Medicago truncatula: one gene and its partner. The protein of the gene in region 1 interacts with the protein of each later gene in a pairwise test. Links are inferred from orthologs where the notes say so. Each region holds a gene or a part of one and is shown in the gene's direction. Other genes may lie near its edges.

Region 1 (11,156 bases):
TTCTTTTAATGTATGAAAGTTTAATCGAACGTAAATGTTAATTATCATCTTTATATAATTCGGTATTTCTAATCGAATTTCAGAAGTTAGGATTAATAATAATTTGTTGTTTGAAATCAATTCTTACAATTCTACACAATCTTGTAATCCAAAAAAAAAAATTCTTACAATTCTAAACATATGAGAGACATTAGACAATAAACACAAAGATAACCGAAGAATATTCGATTTGAAATTTGATGAATGGTAGTCAAAGATGGCTCTGGCTACGGTAGGCGACCTCAATGGGTCTCCTACCGTAGGTGACTACATTTTTTTTTTTTTTGGTTTTTAAATTGCTTGTGAGCCATTGGATCTGGAAAGAAGTTTTCAATGCCACAGATGTATATACATGTTGACCCACTAGCAATGTATATTATAATGTTTAATTTTTGTCTTTAATAAAGTAATTGAATTAATAATCAATTTACATAAAGGGTATTTATGTCATAGTTGAAAAAAATATGAAAATGCCCAATAAACTATTGGCGTGCATTATATATGTTCCCATCAAAGTTTTATATTTCATCAATATTTTTGCTCCACGAACTCAAGAAAAGAAAAATAAATATTCAACAAAAATATAGTATCCTTTTTTTGCATATTGAAGTTTTAGTTGGGTATTAAATGGTTAATTAATTTGATGAACGAAGGCATGATTTTGTATTATAATAAAAATTTTAACGCTAAAGACAATAATAGAAAACTTGGTAATACTTAAATTAAATAGGATTACGGCTAATATATCCCTCTAGATCTCTATATATAATATGAGTTTTTCTATCATGTGCAAATTTGCACATGTTAAGAAGTTTATAATTGAAATTTTGCATTGAAATTTATACATTTTGTAATAAATATATAATTTTTAAATAAATAATTGTTGTTTTTCAATAAAAACACTAACTACTTTTAATTGCTTTAACATGTGCAAACTCATATAATATATCTTAATCTATCAATTTTTTTAATAAAAACAATGTTTAATTGTTTATCAACGTTTATTATTATTTTTTTCAAACATAACTCCGATGTCACAGCAGGACACAAAAACACTTATTTGGATACATCACGATGAAAAAATATTCAATGACTAATCAATCTAAAATATATTCTAAACAGTTAATAACGTATGAGAGCTACCAATAATCAAATCATGCGTGATAGCAATTTTTAATCACTAATATTATTTGTTGATTAGTTATTTCATATTTTTAACATTATTAATTCCTTGGTGAAAAAAAAAAACTTTTTTAATTTCAAAATATAAAAGAAAAATTACACAAGAGGTATTACTAACTTAGAGCTGTGGAAAGGAATGGTTTCTGGCCTGGTTTTCTTGTTTGATTGAAAAGGAAAAGAGGAAAGGTACAAATTGAAACTACCTAAAATGACCTTGGCATTTAATTTGTTAATGTAATTTATTTAATATTGATCACTGGCAGCAACAGGTCACTCATATTGTATTGACCTACAAATACAAGTTACCACACCAGCATAAAAAAAATAAAATTGTCAAGACTAGTCTCTTACCAAACAAGACCCATGTTGCTTGCGTACCTTAAACGGCACCGTCAAAGATTACATGGTTCAAGCAGATTCAAAAAAGTTCGTATAATAACTCGGGCGCCATTTACGGTAGGAGAGGTGAATAGGTCTCCTATCGTAGGAGACCGTATAAAAAGACAATTTTTTTTTTGTTGTTAAAATAACATGTGTTTAAGTTAAATTCTATTTAAGTTATTCATTTAACTGCAAGGACAGTGTTGGTATTTCATCTTAAATAAAAAATTATTTTTCCATCTAGATCTGGAAATTGTTAAATTATTTTTTTTGTTTAAGTTAAATTATTTTTGCTTCAACTTCTTTCGTGTTTGTGAGAGGAAATTGTGGCAAGTTAGAGAAGTTTTGTTATTTTTATCATATCCATTCTACCCTTGAGTTTTCACTTGGAGGGAATAAACATGGAACGCATGAGCTTGCTATGAATTTTTCCAGTTTTTCCAACAATGCCAAAAACATCCTTTCTTAAATTTGAATCCAAAATCAATTGCATTTTTATAAATCAATATATATGTTAAAAAAATACAATCCTAGTGGGTCACTTATTGCAAATCTCAGCCATTCAAAAGCTTCAAAGTAAATTCAATGGTTGACATCCATTTTTCAAAAAAAAAAAAAAAAAAAACAGGTCTCCTACGGTAGGAGACCTATGAATGTCATGGACCGTAGCCTTTGCCAATAACTCGATCTAAGAAATTTAACTAGACGTGATAATCATAAATATTGTAAAAATGTTTGAGAAATTATGCGTAGATTGATGATGATGTGTCGATACTGTTTCCAAGGTGAACCCTGACTTGGATCTCTTTAAAACACGTTTCCTTAATATTTTGGTGCAAAACTTTAACGTGGCAATGATTTTCATTTATGTATTTATAGAGATTTAAAACTGGGTTGAGCCGTACTTTAAACTAACGGATCCTGCGGTAGAAACAAGGGGTGTTAAATGCTCGTGGTTTAGGCAAACTTGTTGTAAGCGATGCACACGTGGCAATATGGAAAGTTAACATCACGATGGGCAACATCCTTGCTTTGAATTTTCACCTTTTTTTTTAGTTTGAATTGCATTTGATGTATCCATTAAAAGTTGGGTTGATGATGCTTTATCCGTGTAATATATGTGATTTTCAGTTTTTTTTCTATATTTTTTTTTTTTAGTTATCCCTTTATAAAAAAAGTTTGTTTTGGAAAACCCCCTATGATATATATATATATATATATATCACTCAAAAATCTCTCACTAAAATTAAATTTGAGTTTGAGCATTACTATAAATATAACTCAGTTGAGAGTGATGTGATAGTATACCAAAATCGAAACCACAATTTCGAATTCTCATCTTACTGATCTTATAAAGTGAATTTTTACCTATTGAATTACTTGAGAAAAAACGATACAGATTGAAAGTGTGTATCTCAAGGTGAGTAATTGCTTAAATCGTAATCTTTGACTTTCCTCTTACTATCATAAATCTATCATTTACTCCCTCCATTTCAAAATAAGTACTCCATCCGTTCCTTGTATCACTTTTGGAGAAAAAATTTGTTCCTATTTAACTGTCACTTTCAAAGTTCAATGTAACATTAAATGTTGTTTTACCAATATTATTCTTAGTTATTTATTGTGGAGAGAGAAATATATGAAATGACATATTAAATGAATAAGGTCATTATAGTAAAAGTACAGCTTATTGCATCAAAAATAGTATCAATTGTTGATTGTCTTGGTTTGTGTAAAACGTCAAAATGTGACAATTAAAAAGGAATGAAAGTAGTATCATTTTAGCAAAAAAAAATTGTTTCAAAATGAATGTCACTTTCAGTTTTCAATGCAATAATAACTTTTTCTTTTCAATTGTACATTTCAATTAATATTATGTTACATTACTTCCAAAGTATTATTTTTTCTTTAATGAAAAACAAACCAATAGTTGATTAGGATAATTTGGTAAAATTGTTATGACATTTGACTACTTTATTTCATTCCTTAATATATGTGCAATTGACTAAAATGACACTCATTTTGAAACGGATTGAGTAATTTTTTTTTTGTTTTGGTGAAATTTTCCTTTTTATTGCCGTTATTAATCAGCACTTATATGAAATAACCATGGATAGTTTTGACCGTCTGTAGTAAATATTATTAGAGCATCCACAATGAAGACCCTCAAATTGAAGGTTTTAAGCGGATCCCACGTGTACACATCATTTTATTTTATTTTATAATAACAGTACCTAATAGGTACTCGGTCACTCCAATGAAGATCTTATAACAAAAAGTCTAAATAGGTCCCACCACTAACATATTATTTTACGCTTAAATGCTTTTTTGGTCCCTTAACTATTTAATTGGTATCGCTTTGGTCCCTTAACTAAAAAAAAGATTGTTTGAGGATTTTAAGTTTTTTTTTAGTATCGTTTTGGTCCCTTCTGTTAGGTTTCCGTTAGGGTTTTAAAAAAATGTTAACTCCTGGACACGTGTCACCTTGTCATTGGCTCTGAGTTTTTTTTTAATATATATATATATATATATATATATATATATATATATATATATATATTTTAAAAAAAAATCCCAAAGCCAATGGCAAAGTGACACGTGTCCCAAAGTTAACACGTGTCATCTTGTCATTGGTTCTGGGAATTTTTTACAAAAAAATAAAATATATATATTTAAAAAAATTAACTTTTTTTTTTATAAAAAATATATTTTTTTGTAAAAAAAAAAATCTCAGAGTCAATGACAAGGTGACACGTGTCCACACTTAACGTTTTTTATTAAAACCAACGGAAACCTAACAGAAGAGACCAAAACGAGACTAAAAAATACTTAAAATCATCAAACAATCTTTTTTTTAGTTAAGGGACCAAAGTGATACAAATTAAATAGTTAAGGGACCAAAAGAGCATTTAAGTCTTTATTTTAATAAAAAAGTGTGTGTGGACCACTTAAAGATGAGGTCTTAAGTTAGACCTCATCTCTTAGAAGACCCCTAAAAAAAAAATTTACAATAAAAGTACCTATTAGATATTAAATCTTAAATGGTGAAGACTTTACCATTGTAGATGCTCTTATTAATGAAAGGTCCAATTAGTCCCATATTAGGGGATCTTACTAATATTATATGAATTTTTCACATTCGACACGGAATGTTGGAAAATAATTTTGGTAGAGATAATAATATACCCCAATAGAGGGGCAATAATGTTGGTTGATGAGATAAGAAAAGCAATCTCTAAGACGGAAATGGGGGCGACAACTCCTGTTCAATCTTCACGTTTCAGTGCTGCCCTTACTGCCCAAGCGCATCAAACCTCTTATATTATCACAACTCATACAACCGGCTCCTTAAAATCAATTTTTATTTTATATCACTGCCCATACGTTACAAATTTATTATTTATTATTCATTCCAATTAATTAATTTAATCAATTGAATGCATAAATCTAGGAGAAAAATATATATATTTTTTTTTAAAATTAAACCATATTCATAAACACTTGGATTGGATGAAATAATGAAGGGTATTTTATAATTGTTTTAAGTTCAAATATATCATAAAATAAAATACAAGTGTTAATTTTTTTTATAAAGTGTTTAATTTTGTATCATAGTTTTATTCGATAAAAAAATGTCTTGTTAATCCGTACTTTAAGGACAATGGTTAAGAATTTAAAAGAGGAACTAATTTATGAATTTTATATAAAAAAGTTTTTATTTTTAATTTTTAATATAGTGAAAACACAAGTTTCAATAAATTTTTTTTTCCTTAGACTCTTAAAAAAAATTAATCTTTACAATTATGCGTAGAAATATTTGATAAAAAATGTAAAAAAGGTGAGGAAGTAACAAGGGAAAGTTAAGTAACGCGGATGGTGTTAAATGCACCCTTCTTACCCGTACCCCATTACACTGCCCGTCCACAGCACGACAACGCCATTTCCCAATAAAAACATGACAACTTTCCCGCGACCGTTAAGACAAACGCCGTTACTTTCTCCATCCAATCCTATCTTGACGTCTATTAACACCGTTTATTCTTACCCCCTTATTTCCAATGAGCCGCCTTTTATTTATGGCGTTGTTTGCGTTTCCCTAGCACCAAAACTTCCTCACTTCTGATACCCGGTTGGAAAAGCAGGTAAACCTGTTATCACCGGTTGTATCTCATTTAACCGCGGTTAAAATCATTGACCACTCTAGTTAAAGTCCTCTCTTCCGACACTCCTTCTGGTCCTCCTGCTACCATTTATCATCATCATCTTAGAGAGAGAGAGAGATAAAAATAACAAAACAAAATATTGAGAGAGAGAGAGAGATAGAAAACTTAGAGAGAGAAAGTGGGTAGTTGAACGAGTCATCGTCAATTGAAGGCTTGTTTCTTTGTTTTTGAAGATCAAGAAGAAGAACGTTGTTGTTGTTGTTGAGTTTTCATGAAGAGTGGATGTTTGGGATGAGAGATCTGGAAGAAGAAAGAAACATGGCATCATCAGAAGTATCTATGAAGGGAAATTCTGTCAACGGAAAAGGTGAAAACAACGTTGATGGTGTTGGAGATGCTCAAAATGGTTCTTCATCGTCATCAACAGGAAGAGGTAACAACGTTAACGTGGTTTTATCTGTAATTAAGGTTTTGTGTAACAAATTATGGAGTGATAATGTTTTTTTTTTCTTTTCATTTTTCCAGAAGCTGAAGCTGCACTTTACAGAGAACTATGGCATGCGTGTGCTGGTCCTTTGGTAACAGTTCCAAGAGAAGGAGAACTTGTGTTCTATTTTCCACAAGGACATATTGAACAGGTAACACAAACATTACCTATTTTCCGACAATTATCTTTCATGGTTTGGTTCTTGTTTTCTTTAGTTAAGTTAGCTACCGGTTTATCTGTGTGTCAACTCAGATTTGTCACACTTAACTCGTTTTGGTTCCTAATTTAGCAGCATCTGGGTTTTTTCTTTTTTATATTAGAATTAGAGTTATTATGATGATGATTATGGTGAAATTAACATAATTCCATACATTAGGTGGAAGCTTCAACAAATCAAGCATCGGAACAACACATGCCGGTTTACGATCTCCGACCTAAGATCCTTTGTCGGGTCATCAACGTTATGCTAAAGGTAAATTTTCCTCTTTTCCTTTTTTTTTTTTGAATAATTTAATAAATTCCTTTCTTTTTCTAACAGTAACACAGTTGTTTTGTTTGTGTAATTATAAAATATAATAAAATTATTTATCTTTTAATTATTGATTAATTTTTGTATATTTTTTTGTAGGCGGAGCCAGATACTGATGAGGTGTTTGCACAAGTGACTTTGGTACCAGAGCCCAATGTGAGTTTTTCCACTAATTTTCTTTTGGTTTCTTTGGTTTGGAGTAACAAACACAGCATGTTCTTATTTTTTTCTTTGTGTGTTGTTTTGGATTGTGGATCTGGATGATATTGTAGCAAGATGAAAATGCTGTTGAGAAAGAAGCTCCACCTGCTCCTCCGCCGAGATTTCATGTTCATTCGTTTTGTAAAACGTTGACCGCATCTGATACCAGTACTCATGGTGGTTTTTCTGTACTTAGACGACATGCTGATGAATGTCTTCCTCCTCTGGTTTGTTCTCTGTTCCCTCTTCTTCCTCCTTCTGTTTTTCCATATGGATGAAATTGATGGTGTTTGTTGTTTGGTGATAGGATATGTCAAAGCAACCACCTACACAGGAATTGGTGGCCAAGGATCTGCATGGGAATGAGTGGCGTTTTAGGCATATTTTTCGCGGTAATTACTAGTCCATCTTAAACTGTTGACCACTTGATTTATTTCTTATTAATTTTTGTTCATTTTTTTTTTTTTTTTTTTTTGTGTTTGATGTGTGAGGTGAATTGATTTCAGGTCAACCGCGTAGACATTTGCTGCAGAGTGGTTGGAGTGTTTTTGTCAGTTCTAAGAGGCTGGTTGCTGGGGATGCATTTATATTTCTGAGGTTTGCTTAGTTGTTATAACATCATTTTTGAATTAGTGTTTTTTTGTTGTTGTTGGTGATTTTGACTAATTTAGGATTTTTCCAGAGGTGAGAATGGGGAGCTTCGAGTTGGTGTCAGGCGTGCAATGAGACAGCAGGGTAATGTTCCATCCTCGGTTATCTCTAGCCATAGCATGCATCTTGGTGTTCTTGCAACTGCCTGGCATGCTGTTTTGACTGGGACCATGTTCACTGTTTATTACAAACCCCGGTATGCAATTTGTTCTTAAACCATGTCTGCTCTGTTCTAACTATTATCTGATTTGAGTGTTCTTTCTGATTTATTTCCCTAGGCATTGAGTTTACACCGTTCTTGCTCATGTTTCTTCTGCAGGACTAGTCCAGCGGAGTTTATTGTTCCGTATGATCAATACATGGAGTCTCTAAAAAATAATTATACAATAGGCATGCGGTTCAAAATGAGGTTTGAGGGTGAAGAGGCTCCTGAGCAAAGGTGTGAATGATCAAAACAATAATGTCTTTTTTCTCTGTTTAAGTTTTAATGTTACTACTGCTTGCTGGTTATGTCCATTTATTCTTTATCTAATGGTTTATTTTGATTTGGTTTTTGTATGTGTAGGTTTACGGGTACCATTGTTGGAATTGAAGATTCCGACTCCAAAAGATGGCCAACATCTAAATGGAGATGTCTCAAGGTTAGATGGGATGAAACATCTAACATACCTCGTCCTGAGAGAGTTTCCCCTTGGAAAATAGAGCCTGCTCTTGCTCCTCCAGCTCTAAATCCTCTTCCAATGCCCAGGCCTAAAAGGCCCCGTGCTAACGTGGTGCCGTCATCCCCAGATTCTTCTGTTCTTACCCGCGAAGGTATTGTGAGAACTTGATATTTCTAAGAATTCCTCCTTTGCGTTGTGGTTTTTGTATGAAGCCTGATTTGTTTTTGCTGATCAATTAACAGCATCGTCAAAAGTAAGCATGGACCCTTTGCCCACTAGTGGTTTCCAGAGGGTCTTGCAAGGTCAAGAATCATCGACCTTGAGAGGAAATTTGGCTGAAAGCAACGACTCTTACACTGCAGAGAAGTCTGTTGCGTGGACTCCTGCAACTGATGAAGAAAAGATGGATGCTGTTTCTACTTCAAGAAGGTATGGTTCAGAGAACTGGATGCCAATGTCAAGGCAGGAACCAACGTATTCGGACCTTCTGTCGGGATTTGGTAGTACCCGTGAAGGCAAACATAACATGCTTACTCAATGGCCTGTAATGCCACCTGGTCTGTCGCTAAATTTCTTGCACTCCAATATGAAAGGTTCTGCACAAGGCAGTGATAATGCAACTTACCAAGCTCAAGGGAATATGAGATACAGTGCATTTGGTGATTACTCAGTGCTTCATGGACATAAAGTTGAAAATCCACACGGAAACTTTTTGATGCCACCACCACCACCAACACAATACGAGAGTCCCCATTCCAGAGAATTGTCACAGAAACAAATGTCTGCAAAAATAAGTGAGGCTGCAAAACCAAAAGACAGTGACTGTAAGCTATTCGGCTTCTCGCTTCTCAGTAGCCCAACTATGCTGGAGCCTTCATTATCTCAAAGAAATGCTACAAGTGAGACTTCTAGTCACATGCAAATTTCATCACAACATCACACATTTGAAAATGATCAGAAGTCCGAACATTCAAAGAGCTCCAAACCAGCAGATAAACTAGTCATAGTTGATGAGCATGAGAAGCAGTTGCAAACTTCTCAGCCTCATGTTAAAGATGTTCAACTCAAACCTCAAAGTGGTTCTGCTAGAAGCTGCACGAAAGTAAGTATCTGCATTGTTATTGTTACCTTTTTGACGAAATAAACGAGTTAGTAATAACGAAATGATTCTTATTTAAGGTTCACAAGAAAGGGATTGCGCTTGGTAGGTCAGTTGATCTTACAAAGTTTAGTGACTATGACGAATTAACTGCTGAATTGGATCAGCTATTTGAATTTAGAGGTGAACTAATATCTCCACAAAAGGATTGGCTTGTTGTCTTCACTGATAATGAGGGTGACATGATGCTTGTTGGCGACGATCCATGGCAGTAAGATCACCATTTATGGTTCTCTGATTAGCCTTTTTAATTGATTTTTTTTTCCCTTTCTTAAGGATGACCTTATTTGCATAATTTTTGTTTACTCAAATTCAGGGAGTTTTGTTCAATGGTTCGCAAAATATATATCTACCCCAAAGAAGAGATTCAGAAAATGAGCCCGGGTACACTGAGTTCAAAAAATGAAGAGAATCATTCAGCTACCGATGGTGGAGATGCACAAGAAACTAAATCTCAGCTGAATCAATCAGCTTCAGATAATTGATTATTTGGTAGATTGGATTTTCTTAGCATCCAGGTGTGACATCACTTCCTCGTTCAATAATGTTACCTTGTACTTGCAAACCTTTTTCTACATTTAATGTTGCCATGTATGAACACTGACAACTTTTCTTTGTAAAATCTCATATGGTATGAACATTGATCAATGTTTTGTTTTATCCACAGATTCCGGATTTTGGAATGGAAAGAAGTAGAGGACTGTCATAAAGCCAGCCAGCCAGTTAGAGAAAATGTGTATGACCTGAACAAGTAACTTTTTAATTCTGAAGAGTATGTGTTTGGAATCAGAATATGGAGTAGAGTTTCCATCCGATTTTGGACCGTGTCGTGGATTTAGTGTTAGTAGTATATTTATATATATGACTTTCCAATTATAATATATAGTCCTAGTATATATAAATAGTATAGTAAGTAATTGTGTCTTGAGCTAGGCAATATGGTATGGGGTGTATTGACCTGCATTTTTCATCAATCCTTGTTCATAGTTTCTTTTCCATCTCTCTAGAAGACAAGAACCCCTTCCCCCTCAACCCCCATTAATGTAATTAAGTAGTTCATATACAAGTGCGGTTTATCTGATTTTTATTTTTGATTGACACTTATTTTTAGTAGAAAAATTTGTGCTAGTAATAGTAGTATGTGGAAAATTTATTGAGGAAATCAATTTGCATTTTGCTTGCTTTATGTATAATTAAATTAAATTTTCCTTGATAGTAGTTTTTCACACATTTTTTTGGTTACGAGTATGGTGATTAATTACGGTCAATATCATATGGTAACTTACTATACGCGTGGACGTTATAGATTGAAGTTGAAGTCATATCAATATAGCAGAAAATCAACACGTGGTTTTGGAAATCTTATAGGTAGATTTTGAAAATGAAAATTCTTTGTGAAATATAATTGGTGGTTTAATTGTGGTGACACTATTTACTAGTACTACTACTAGATGGTGTGGTCCTCTCTTGAGCCCTCGTTGGTGTATTTGAAACGTGGTTACGTGATTAAATTTCATTCCGTGAAAGCACCACCGTTGAATGTCCCATTATAGTTTTTGATATAAAATTATTGTACTTATCATCATCTATTAAAAAACATACATACAATATATATGAGCACGTTGTGGACCTCGTTATTTCATGGGTTCTGTCCTTTATGTCTAACAATCTTTGGACCATGCGATTCATTATTTTATTTTAT
Region 2 (10,549 bases), on another chromosome or scaffold:
GTTAAAACCCTACCCATAGCAGATATTTTTTGCGGATGTCCATAGGGTCTGGGTCCAATTGCCATCCTTTACATTTAGTCAATTAAAGTTCAAATCTCCCTTGTGAGAGAAACTTATATTAACGTTTAATAATTTCTTGAATAATATTGTATCCAATGAAGAGAATTTGTGAAAAATTAAATGTTCGGTTAAAAAATGACAAATGGAATTTTACCGAAACTAAATTTGAAAACCATAATTTATGTTGACATTTTTTTCTTCTAGTTGAGTGTGTTTAACGATTGAACAGTTGGTCAAAGAGTGCAAAGATGGGTTTTGTTTTAAATGTTTTGGGTTGAAATCTTTTTTTTTTTTTTTTGTTTAGTAGGCTAATGGCTAGAACTCACATAATTAAATGTGGTGAAGTGGAGTGTCCGGGGTTCGAACGCCAGCCCCTGCATAAATTATGTAATGTCCCTACCAACTGAGTTAAGCTCACGGAGACAATGTTGGATTCGAATCTTATCAGTCTTTTTAAACTGAGGTAAATGTAATTTTCTTTTTAAGTCTCAATAAATTTAAAGGTATTTTCCAACTTATAGAGAAATATCATCCCTTCATCCTAAATTTTATACTAATAAAAATAAAAGTCTTACTAACAAGTGCTCTTAGAACACTTGTTAAAGAAACAAAAAATTGTAGTTTTACATTTAATAATTTTTTTAACTTTCAAAAAATTGAATTTATCATTTTTCATCATTTCTTTAACCAATACCCTAAGGAACCTCTTTAACATTTCCCATAAAAAAATGTGTTTAAAGACAACTTTTGAAAATGTTTTTTTTACATAAAAAAAGGTTGAAAAGATGCAATCAAATGCAACTTACTCGTAACTTGGTTATTTTTTTTAGATGATATCTTGTATGATGAAGAATATATATGTTCCTTTTAAGATGATTAGTTAGATTAGTGAAGCAACACATCTATACAAATTTCAAATGTTTGGTTGTTTTGAGTATTATAATCGCATATACTTGTGCCCCATTTGTGTTGCACTCTGTTTTAGTTTTATTTGGATATGGATCATGGATGACTATTTTTCTACAAATTAAAATTTAGATTGAAGAATATATTTTAAAAAATAAACAAATAGTACTTCAAATTAAGCTTCCTCGAAGAAAAAGGTTTAGATGGAACATAAGTAGAGATGTAAATGAATATTCATAGATGCAAATTTTATGATATACATGTTTGCTTCATTGGATAAAATTGACATTTGTGCCCTCTCCTTATCTACATGGATATGCGGGTTATCCACGGATTTTGAAATATCCACGAGTATATACAAATATCCATGAATATAATTTTTTTTTTAAAATGATTTTTGTAATAGTTTTTTTTTATAATTACCTAAAATTTAACAACAAATATTCATCACATTCATTTGCTTCTTTTTACCAAAATATAATAATATTCATACATTCCGTTTCATTTCTAAAACAAAGTTCTTTAATTAAAAAAGACATAACTAAAGGGTAATACTATTGATTTGTTTTAGAGGAGAATTGAAGCGACATATAATATTATTTTAAGTATTGTTTTTTTATTGAACTTGAAAGGGTAGTAAGTTTATTAATGTAATTTACTTAATTTACTAACGAATACCATTAAATATGTATTTGTATCCATTAAATAATGGATGGTTGAAATACCTGTTTATTTTATTATGTGACAGATTTTATTCACGGATATCCGCATGTGAGATTATTATGTCATCCCTACAAAAGGTCTAGACTCCCACAAATACGTAGCCAACTAAAGTTCAAATCTAACAATGAAATATACTCACATTTAGTGTTGGATAATGTCAAGATTTCTTCCGATGAAGGAAATCCATGAAAAATTAAAAGTTCGATTAAAAATCTTAAAAGCATATATGATAAAACACAAATAAATTAAAAAATGACAAATGCATTTTCACCAAGGATGAATTTGGTAAAACATAATTTATGTTTGAAATTTTTTTCTTCTAGTAAAAAGTGTGCTTAACACTCGAGCGTTGAGTTACGAGTAAAGAATAAAAAGTTGAGTCTTATATTCGAGGGTTTTGGGTTCAAGTTATGCCGTCTCTTTAAAGGAATTTAGATGCAGTTCTTTTTGTAAGCACTATTTGAGTTTTAAGATCTTTCTGCCTTGTACAACAACACAATCCCTTCACACTAAGTTATATTGGAGCAGGAAAGGTTTGTTGCCAAAGGTTAGACATCAACATTACTAGAAATAAGATTTTTGGCAAGACTTTTTCTCGGCGACAATAAACTTGTTGGCAAAAACATTCATATAGCAACAACTAATTAAAATTGTTGTATTAAGTTTTTTTTAACAATATTGTTATCGTTGGGAAAAATGGTTTGTCCCAACAATAACTATTGTTGTTGAAAATAATACAACTTTTTATATGCATATAACATCGACTAATCAAAGTTGTTGTAATAGGTTATTGTTATTTATAAACAATATCACTATCGTTGGAGAAAGTGACTTGTTCCAACAACAATTTTTGTCGCTGAAATGGTGATTGGTGCATATCCGGAGATTGTGAAGTGGTAGCTGAGCTTGGATCCACCGTGCTTAGCGAAGATTTTCAGGTCAAGTTATTCAGTTTGGGACTACATAGCTAGCTTGAGCTCGATTTAAGGATCCCTGATGCAGGAGAACAACAATGATCAGTACGTGTCATCAAAGCAAAGCAAAGCTTTCCCAAGGAACACAAACCATAATTAATGCTCTGTATGATGCATATTGCTTCTTTTGAAGTGGTTCAATTCATCCATCAAACTCAGGAACAAAACCTTGCCATGCTTTGCTTTGATTTCTCTAATTAGTAATTGAGATTCGAAAGTGACATCTTATCTATATGGGGTTTCATCTTGCCTGGCCAAACTTAGACACTTAACCAATTTAGTTGTAGGGGTGTGTGTGGGTGAAGTAATGGATGATAGGTAAATGGCCAACAATGAATTAGACCCATAATACTTTAGGGGTCCTACTAGTTGAGTTTGTACCCTTCACCGCATGGGAACTATATAGAACAACTGGATTCCAACTTTCAATCCTTTGTTCGTGCGGAGTTTAGTGAATAGCATAATTTGCCATGCACCATCACGTGGGTTTCACAAGTTTACGTACACTTTGTCAAGCACTATATTGTGCTCTATTGGTAACCCTACACTTGTATTTTGGACCACATACATACCTAATATAGTAATATACGATATATTGCAAAGTTGATGCTTTGTGTAGCGCATTTCACCTTTTCGGTTTTGCTTAACTCGAGTAAATAAGAATTCTCCTTAAATTATGATTGTCATTGCAGACAAATGATCATTAATGATCTTGAAGCAAATGTTTTATGTGCATAGTGCATAAGTAGATTAAACACGCAATTAGTTTGCGTGAGTTCTTTTTTTTTTTTTTGAAGGAATAATTTGCTTGAGTTCTAAAATCATGATATGTTTGACGGGCATTATAGTCGACATATTGGACATATTAACAAACAAGTATCAATATGTTCATGAGCTACTGATTCCTTTCATTTTTTTTTATATATCAAATATAAAAAAAAAAAAAATTGGAAGTTAGGTCTTTTTTTTTTTTTATTTCATTTTTTTTTATTATAGGTCTTTCATATTGGAAGTTAGGTCTTTCATAATAATAAAGAACAGAATGTTAGTGCTCCCGCAACACTCATGAATACTCGTACAATCGTAATGTCCATAGTAACTTCCTTGTTTTGAGAAGTTTTTTCCCCAAAAAATAAATTGAAACGAAATATTAAGGACTTCTTTGGCTTAAGAAAATTATTTATGTTCTTATTTTCTATTCTTTTGGTTGTAAAAATGTCTCTAATTTTTTTTTAATATTTTTTTTTGTTTTAAAATATCTGTATATAATGAAGTAAAAACAATTTCTTTTACTAATTCTTATACATTTCTTTAATTTGAAATAGAAACAAAGTGTAAATTTTACAATTTGAAGTAAAAATAGCACATGAAACTAAAACGTTTTTCTCAAACTAAACAGACTCTTGTCAATTTGTGTGGATTTTTTTTTTTTTTTTTTTTTGCATAGCTAAATAGGAGTTTGTTTTAATTTCTACAGGTTTATGGTCACCACAAGCAGAGTATTTATGATTTGCTGCTAAGAGTTTCTTATTATTTCTTCAGGATTGATCAGAATCACAAGTAACTGAGGGCAATAAACAATTTTGTCACTAATGTTTTGGTTGGAAAGGGGTAACATTATATTAAGAAAACATAATGTTCAATCATGTCCAGCACAAAATACACAAGCTGTTCATTTTATAATCAATACCATTAATATCTCTGCATCTGCTTATCTGTCTGTGTCTTGTTTTATCTTTTCATAAAAAAACATACTGTTTTAAGGCTTAATTGGACATTTGGTCCTCTAAATAATTATGCGTTTATATTTTGGTCCCATAAATTGTAAAACTCACATTTTAGTTCTCTTGGTTTTGCTCCGTCGAATCAAAAAGGTCCTAACTGTTAACTTTAACCCCCAAATGTCTATGGTGGACCGACTTTAAAAATGGTCCACCATAGATCCTATTAATTATTCTAATTTAAACTGTTTGATATTTTTTTAAAAGGAGGGTCATTGGATTACGCAGATGTATTTTATCTTACGGTGAGTCAACAACACTTAATTATTTCTCCCTTTCTTCATCTTCTTCCTCACTTTTCTTCATCATATTCATATCATTTTCACCAACATTCATGAACAAAAATCCAAAAGAAAAAAAAAACCATAATTTTTTCCTCTCTTTACAAAATCTACTCCACTCTTCTTTCATTTCCTTTTCTTTCTTCCTCTCTCTACAAAACAAAGCCATACTCTCCCTCTCCTCCTTTCCAACCGAATTTTCCGGCCACCCACCGTGGTGTTTCCGGCCATCTTTTGTCAAACAAAATACATAATCTACATACTCTCTTCTTTCTCTATCTCATTCTGAAATTTAATTTTGGATCGGAGACATATTTTAGTCTCCAAACCGTCACTTTCATTATTAGATCTAGACCACCACAAATTGTTTCATGACAAACCACTACCATAAACATACTCTCCTTCATATTCTCTACAAAACCCACAAAGAAAAACCACGAACCGGTGAATTTTCTCGGCGACCACCGCACCGGAAAACGACCCCACCACCGCGCCGGACAATGAACAATAACATATTTGGATTGGTTTTGTTTACCGCGCCGGACAACGACCCCACCACCGCGCTGCACCGGAATTTTCTTTATTGTGTTGTGTTTTGTTTTGCTGGATTGGTTTTGTGAAATAGATTTGGATTTGATTTGAAGAAAGCTCAGATTGATGGAGAAATGAGAACTGATTGTTGTTGTGGTTTATTTTCAGAATCTGAAAAAAAAAAAAAAGATTTGTGTGTTTCCAAATTTTTTATTAATTTTTTGGGTTTAAATTCTTCTTTTTTATGGGTTGTTGTGAATTGTGATGAATGTATGAATATTTGATGATGAACAAGAGTGAGGGAGAAGAAGAGAGAAGATGATAGTGCTGGAAAAATTAGGTGCCGATAGCTCACTATAGGTATAATGGACATGCAATCAAACGGCTAATATCATATCAAAAATTTTAAACATTAAAAAACTAACGGAGGGGATCAATTTGACTGACGGAGCAAAACCAAGGGTACCAAAATATGAGTTTTACAATTTATAGGACCAAAATGTAAACTCATAATTATTTAGGGGACCAAATATCCAATTAAGCCTTGTTTTAAATATTAGATTTTCCTTACAATTAATGAACCAAATCCCAAAAGTCTTTTCAGAGTAATGATCTTCACCAAATTTTGGTGAATATGAATATGACACTTCCTTATAGCATGAGACTACTACTAAATATGAATTTGGATTTGCAATTCGTGCAATCACATCGTCATAGACGTTGGTGATCATTGGATCAAAATCGAACGGTCGAGGTTTTAATGCATATTTAAATGTACTTTTTAAAACTGAAATTCCACTCTTGCAATCCAAACCGTCCGAATTGGATCAAGTGACCACCAACGTCCTGATTGTGTGAATGCGCGAATTGCTGACTATAGAAAATTGAAATTCGAATATGTATATGAGGGGACACATTGAGTGGACAATTGAGACCAACAAAAGAGAGTAAAGTGGTCATAGCACATTGGTGCTCTCATTTCTCAACATGCTTATAATGCTGCTACTCTTTTTGCCGACCCAACTTCCTTGTTGTCTGTAACAATCCTTGTTCCACAAGACAATAGTCCTTTTCATTCCCCTCCTTCACTCACACACAAACACACATATATACTCACAACCCCATAAGTCAAGTAATCTCAATTACTCTTAGAAAGCTAGCAAGTACCTATCTCTAACCTATTAGCCTAGCTTCTTATGCTTCATGGAACTTCAGTCAGGTCTGGCTCTACCCATTCATAGTTCCATTGAAGGATTCGATCCCTACAACTCTGATTTAAATAATCACATTCGCGGTTCAGAAAATATAAAGTATGTCAAAAACAAACGTAGCTTTGATGAGTCTTTTGGAGATTTTTCGAAACCTTTGCCTCTATTAGTATGGAGTGGACAACCAAATGAAGAAGATGGCCGCAGTGAAAAGAAGAACAGAAGCATTCACACATCAAACAAGTAAGTTCATGCATGGATCAACCATGAGTTTGACAAAGTTACAACGTGTCACCGTAATTTAGACAAAAGTTACACTTTCTAGCTTCAACAAAATCACAGTGCTACTTGACTTTGTAAAATTTATCGTGATTACAAATTAACATGCACTAAACTAGCTGCTAATATGATTAATTTTTTTTATTATAAATATCATGACACCTTTATTATAATTTTTTGATGTACATGTATAAATAGTGAAGGAGAAAACCATTTGGTTGGGTGGCCACCAATTAAATCATGGAGGAAGAAAGAATTTCATGATCAGCAGCTTCCTGAACATATAAGGAAAGCTAATGAAAATCAAAATAGAAGATCAAAACCTTTGTATGTTAAGGTTAACATGGAAGGGGTTGGCATGGGAAGACAAATCAATTTGAGGCTTTACAACTCTTATCAAACTCTCAAAGACTCGTTGATTAGCATGTTTGTTAAATGTTAGTGTCTAGCGATATATTCATACTTCATAGTGCCATTCCTTTTTAGCTTTTGGTATATTTAGTGGATTTGTTTTTTATTATTTTGAACAGGCCAAAATTTTGAGGAAACTGGAGCAAACTATACACTCACATTTCAGAATAAACAAGGGGAGTGGAAGCTTACAAGCCATATAACATGGCAGTATGTGTCTGTTTTATATAAATATTAATGTTACATACTTTCATGGACAAGTTTATATCACATGAACTCAACAGTTATTTGGATCAGGAGCGAGAATTTAGAAATTTGGAATACGAAATATCATCATTGTAGAAAGGTAAGGTGTCTAAAGATCAAATTTATAACTTTTTTTGCAGATCCTTTATTGGTACTGTGCGGCGTTTGGCTATATTGAGGAATGGAGAATGTGAAACTATCTGACGAAGACTATACTACATAGTTTGTACTTTAATGCTGTTGTACTTTGTTAGTAAAGAGTACTATCTCCTTCAATGTGTTACAGAGAGCATAAGCAAAATATGTGAAGTCAAATTAGTGAATTACAATTTACAAATAATTTGTAATAATTTTGATTTTTTTACTAATAATAATATTGTAATTGTTCAAGTGTGTGCAAATAATTTGTAACAATCTCATAAGTTGATAAAAATGTCAAAATTATTAGACCAGACGTCATGACCAGATTCAAACCCTGACACCTTCACTTATGTGTGTGTTTATGATGACTTTACCATTCCGTCTATCTAAAAAAAACTAAAATTTCAACATTTGCCAAATAGTCTTATCCTTTTATATAAAATGGCTTAATAACACAAAAGAATACTACATCCGTCCCTAATTATAGGGCCCTTTTGAAAAATAACGGGAATTAAGATAGTGAAGATTTGTACTACCTCCGTCCCTAATTATAAGACTCTTTTGAAAAAAAAATTGTCCCTTTTTATAAGACCCCTTTGTTATTTCCAACTACAATAATTATTTCTTTACATACATGCCCCTATTTATTATACATCTTTTTCTTCAATCAGCAATAAATAACATGTTGAAAACATAAATCAACTCTCTTTCTTAAAGGATAAAATTGTAAAAACAATAGTAATTACAAACATATTTAATACAAATATTCACTATCTTAATTCCCGTTATTTTTTTAAAAGGGTCCTATAATAAGGGACGGAGATAATATTAAATATGTTTGTAATTACTATTGTTTTTACAATTTTATCCTTTAATAGAGAGGGTTGGTTTATGTTTTTAACATGTTATTTATTGCTGATTGAAGAAAAAAATATATAATAAATAGAGACATGTATGTAAAGAAATAATTAATGCAGTTGGAAATAGCAAAAAGGTCTTATAAAAACGAACAAAAAAAATTCTCAAAAGAGTCTTATAATTAGAGACGGAGGTAGTATGTTTTTAAACCGAAATTTGCCTATAATCATGAAATTGAGAGATTAATTTAGCACGTGTTAACTAATCTGCATGATAACTTGAACCTATAATTTCCCTTCAAAAAAAAAACTTGAACCTATAATTAAGTAGTTGATAAGGCTTAGAAGTTAAGACGAGGTTGGGGTTCAACATGAATAAATTCGTTATGTCCAACCCCAACATTGTATTATTATTTTTCCTAAATAATACCCCCTCCGTTTGTTTTAGGAAAAAAAAAATTGTCCTAAATTATATGTCGCTTTACAATACCAATACAATATTAATGTTATTTTTCCTATTATAACTTTAACTTTTTATTACTTTATCTTCTTTCAATTCTTTCATTTATTTTTCTCATATTACTCCCTCCGTCCCAAATTGTATGACGTTTTAGCCATTTCACACATATTAACAAATGTAATTAATATTGTGTGGGAAAGAGATATTATGAGTTATTTTACAAAATTGTCCTTAATAAATGATATGAGAAAGATAAATGAAGGAATTGAAAGCAGAGAGAGTAATAAATAGTTAAGGATATAATAGGAAAAGTAACAATAATATTTCATTGGTATTGTAAACGACATACAATTTGGGACAAATATTTTTTCTAAAATGACATACAATTTGGGACGGAGTGAGTATTTATTAAGAACAATTTTATAAAACAACTCATAATATCTATTTTCAATACAATATTAATTGCATTTCTTAATATGTGTGAAATGCTCAAAACGTCATATAATCTGGGACGGAGGGAATATTTGAAGTATTCCGTGGCATAGCTACAAATATCGGTTAAGTTCCAAAGTTTCCAATCACAGCATTACATCATACCACCAATAAACATACTTATGACAAGAATTTGAGATTCTTTATATGGAATGAAATTTATGTAGCATATTACAAGAAGCTAGGATCACTTATGGAGTTGAAATAGGGTGGTGAAGTGTGATTTTTTTTTCTTCTTCCATATTTCAAACAAATGGACTAACGTTAGGTATTTGTTTAGCTTAATACTTTCATGAAACGTGCAAAGCCTGAATATGTTGAAAAAACCTTACAATACTTATGACAAGAACTTGTGTACGCAAAGAAAAGGTTCTTTCCACATGCTTTTGACAATAACAAATTTAACATGGTTTTCTCTAATGCATCACAATAATTAAAATAAACAATTTGGTCATTTACAAAAATTAAAAAGAGACAATTTGATTCTTACACTGATAAAACTCAAATGATTTCTTCTTCATTGAACTCACCTCTGACATTTCTTTAAAATAGTAGTACAAACTTATCAACAAATATTGTGTGTTTATGTGAATGTTTAATTAATTTTTAATCTTCTCCTTTTCTTCCGAGTTTATTTAACCGGACTCAAACTTTACTTTATGCGTGACTATATGCATCGTTCTTAACATTTAAGAACAGTTTAAGATGGTTTAGTGGACATTCACATATAAAGACAATTTCTACTTAGGACAGTTTTTAGGGTGGAACAATTCTTAATACAATTTTGAGAATCAAGTGACTTGTAGGGTGTGGGTGAAGTAATTGGTGCTACGTAAAGGACCAGCAATGAATTAATTAGACCCATCATACCTTAGGGGCCTACTAGTTGAGTTTGTACCCTTCACTGCACGGGAACTATATAGAACTGGATTGAGTTGTTTCATCCATTGCTCGTGCGGGGTTAAGTGAATAGCAATTTAGCATATTTGCCATTTACACAACACCATCACGTGGACTTCACAAGTCTATACTTTGCCAAGCACTACATTGTGCTGTATTGGTAACCCTACACTTGTATTTTTGGACCACATACACACCTAACTATACAATATACCCCTACATCGCAAGTTGATGCATGCTTTGTGGAGCACATTTCAGTTTCACCATTTCGGTTTCTCTGATTAACATTGTCATTATAA

The links. The genes of interacting proteins can lie anywhere in the genome.
Region 2: the proteins of auxin response factor 2B (region 1) and auxin-responsive protein IAA29 interact in binary tests that used the Arabidopsis thaliana proteins (3 or more experiments, as listed by UniProt). The link is inferred for Medicago truncatula from reciprocal best matches to the Arabidopsis thaliana genes ARF2 and IAA29.

What each region holds. Positions count from the first base shown.
Region 1 is NC_053049.1:44,355,666-44,366,821, forward strand, and holds auxin response factor 2B, read left to right. Parts: upstream 1-5,734; 5' UTR 5,735-6,047; coding exon 6,048-6,198; intron 6,199-6,290; coding exon 6,291-6,403; intron 6,404-6,628; coding exon 6,629-6,724; intron 6,725-6,880; coding exon 6,881-6,937; intron 6,938-7,053; coding exon 7,054-7,209; intron 7,210-7,289; coding exon 7,290-7,374; intron 7,375-7,488; coding exon 7,489-7,579; intron 7,580-7,664; coding exon 7,665-7,829; intron 7,830-7,952; coding exon 7,953-8,072; intron 8,073-8,198; coding exon 8,199-8,446; intron 8,447-8,537; coding exon 8,538-9,397; intron 9,398-9,474; coding exon 9,475-9,665; intron 9,666-9,770; coding exon 9,771-9,939; 3' UTR 9,940-9,972; intron 9,973-10,121; 3' UTR 10,122-10,626; downstream 10,627-11,156. UniProt on the Arabidopsis thaliana protein: Auxin response factors (ARFs) are transcriptional factors that bind specifically to the DNA sequence 5'-TGTCTC-3' found in the auxin-responsive promoter elements (AuxREs). Could act as transcriptional activator or repressor.
Region 2 is NC_053044.1:52,828,306-52,838,854, forward strand, and holds auxin-responsive protein IAA29, read left to right. Parts: upstream 1-6,279; 5' UTR 6,280-6,459; coding exon 6,460-6,707; intron 6,708-6,941; coding exon 6,942-7,180; intron 7,181-7,273; coding exon 7,274-7,364; intron 7,365-7,540; coding exon 7,541-7,604; 3' UTR 7,605-7,764; downstream 7,765-10,549. UniProt on the Arabidopsis thaliana protein: Aux/IAA proteins are short-lived transcriptional factors that function as repressors of early auxin response genes at low auxin concentrations.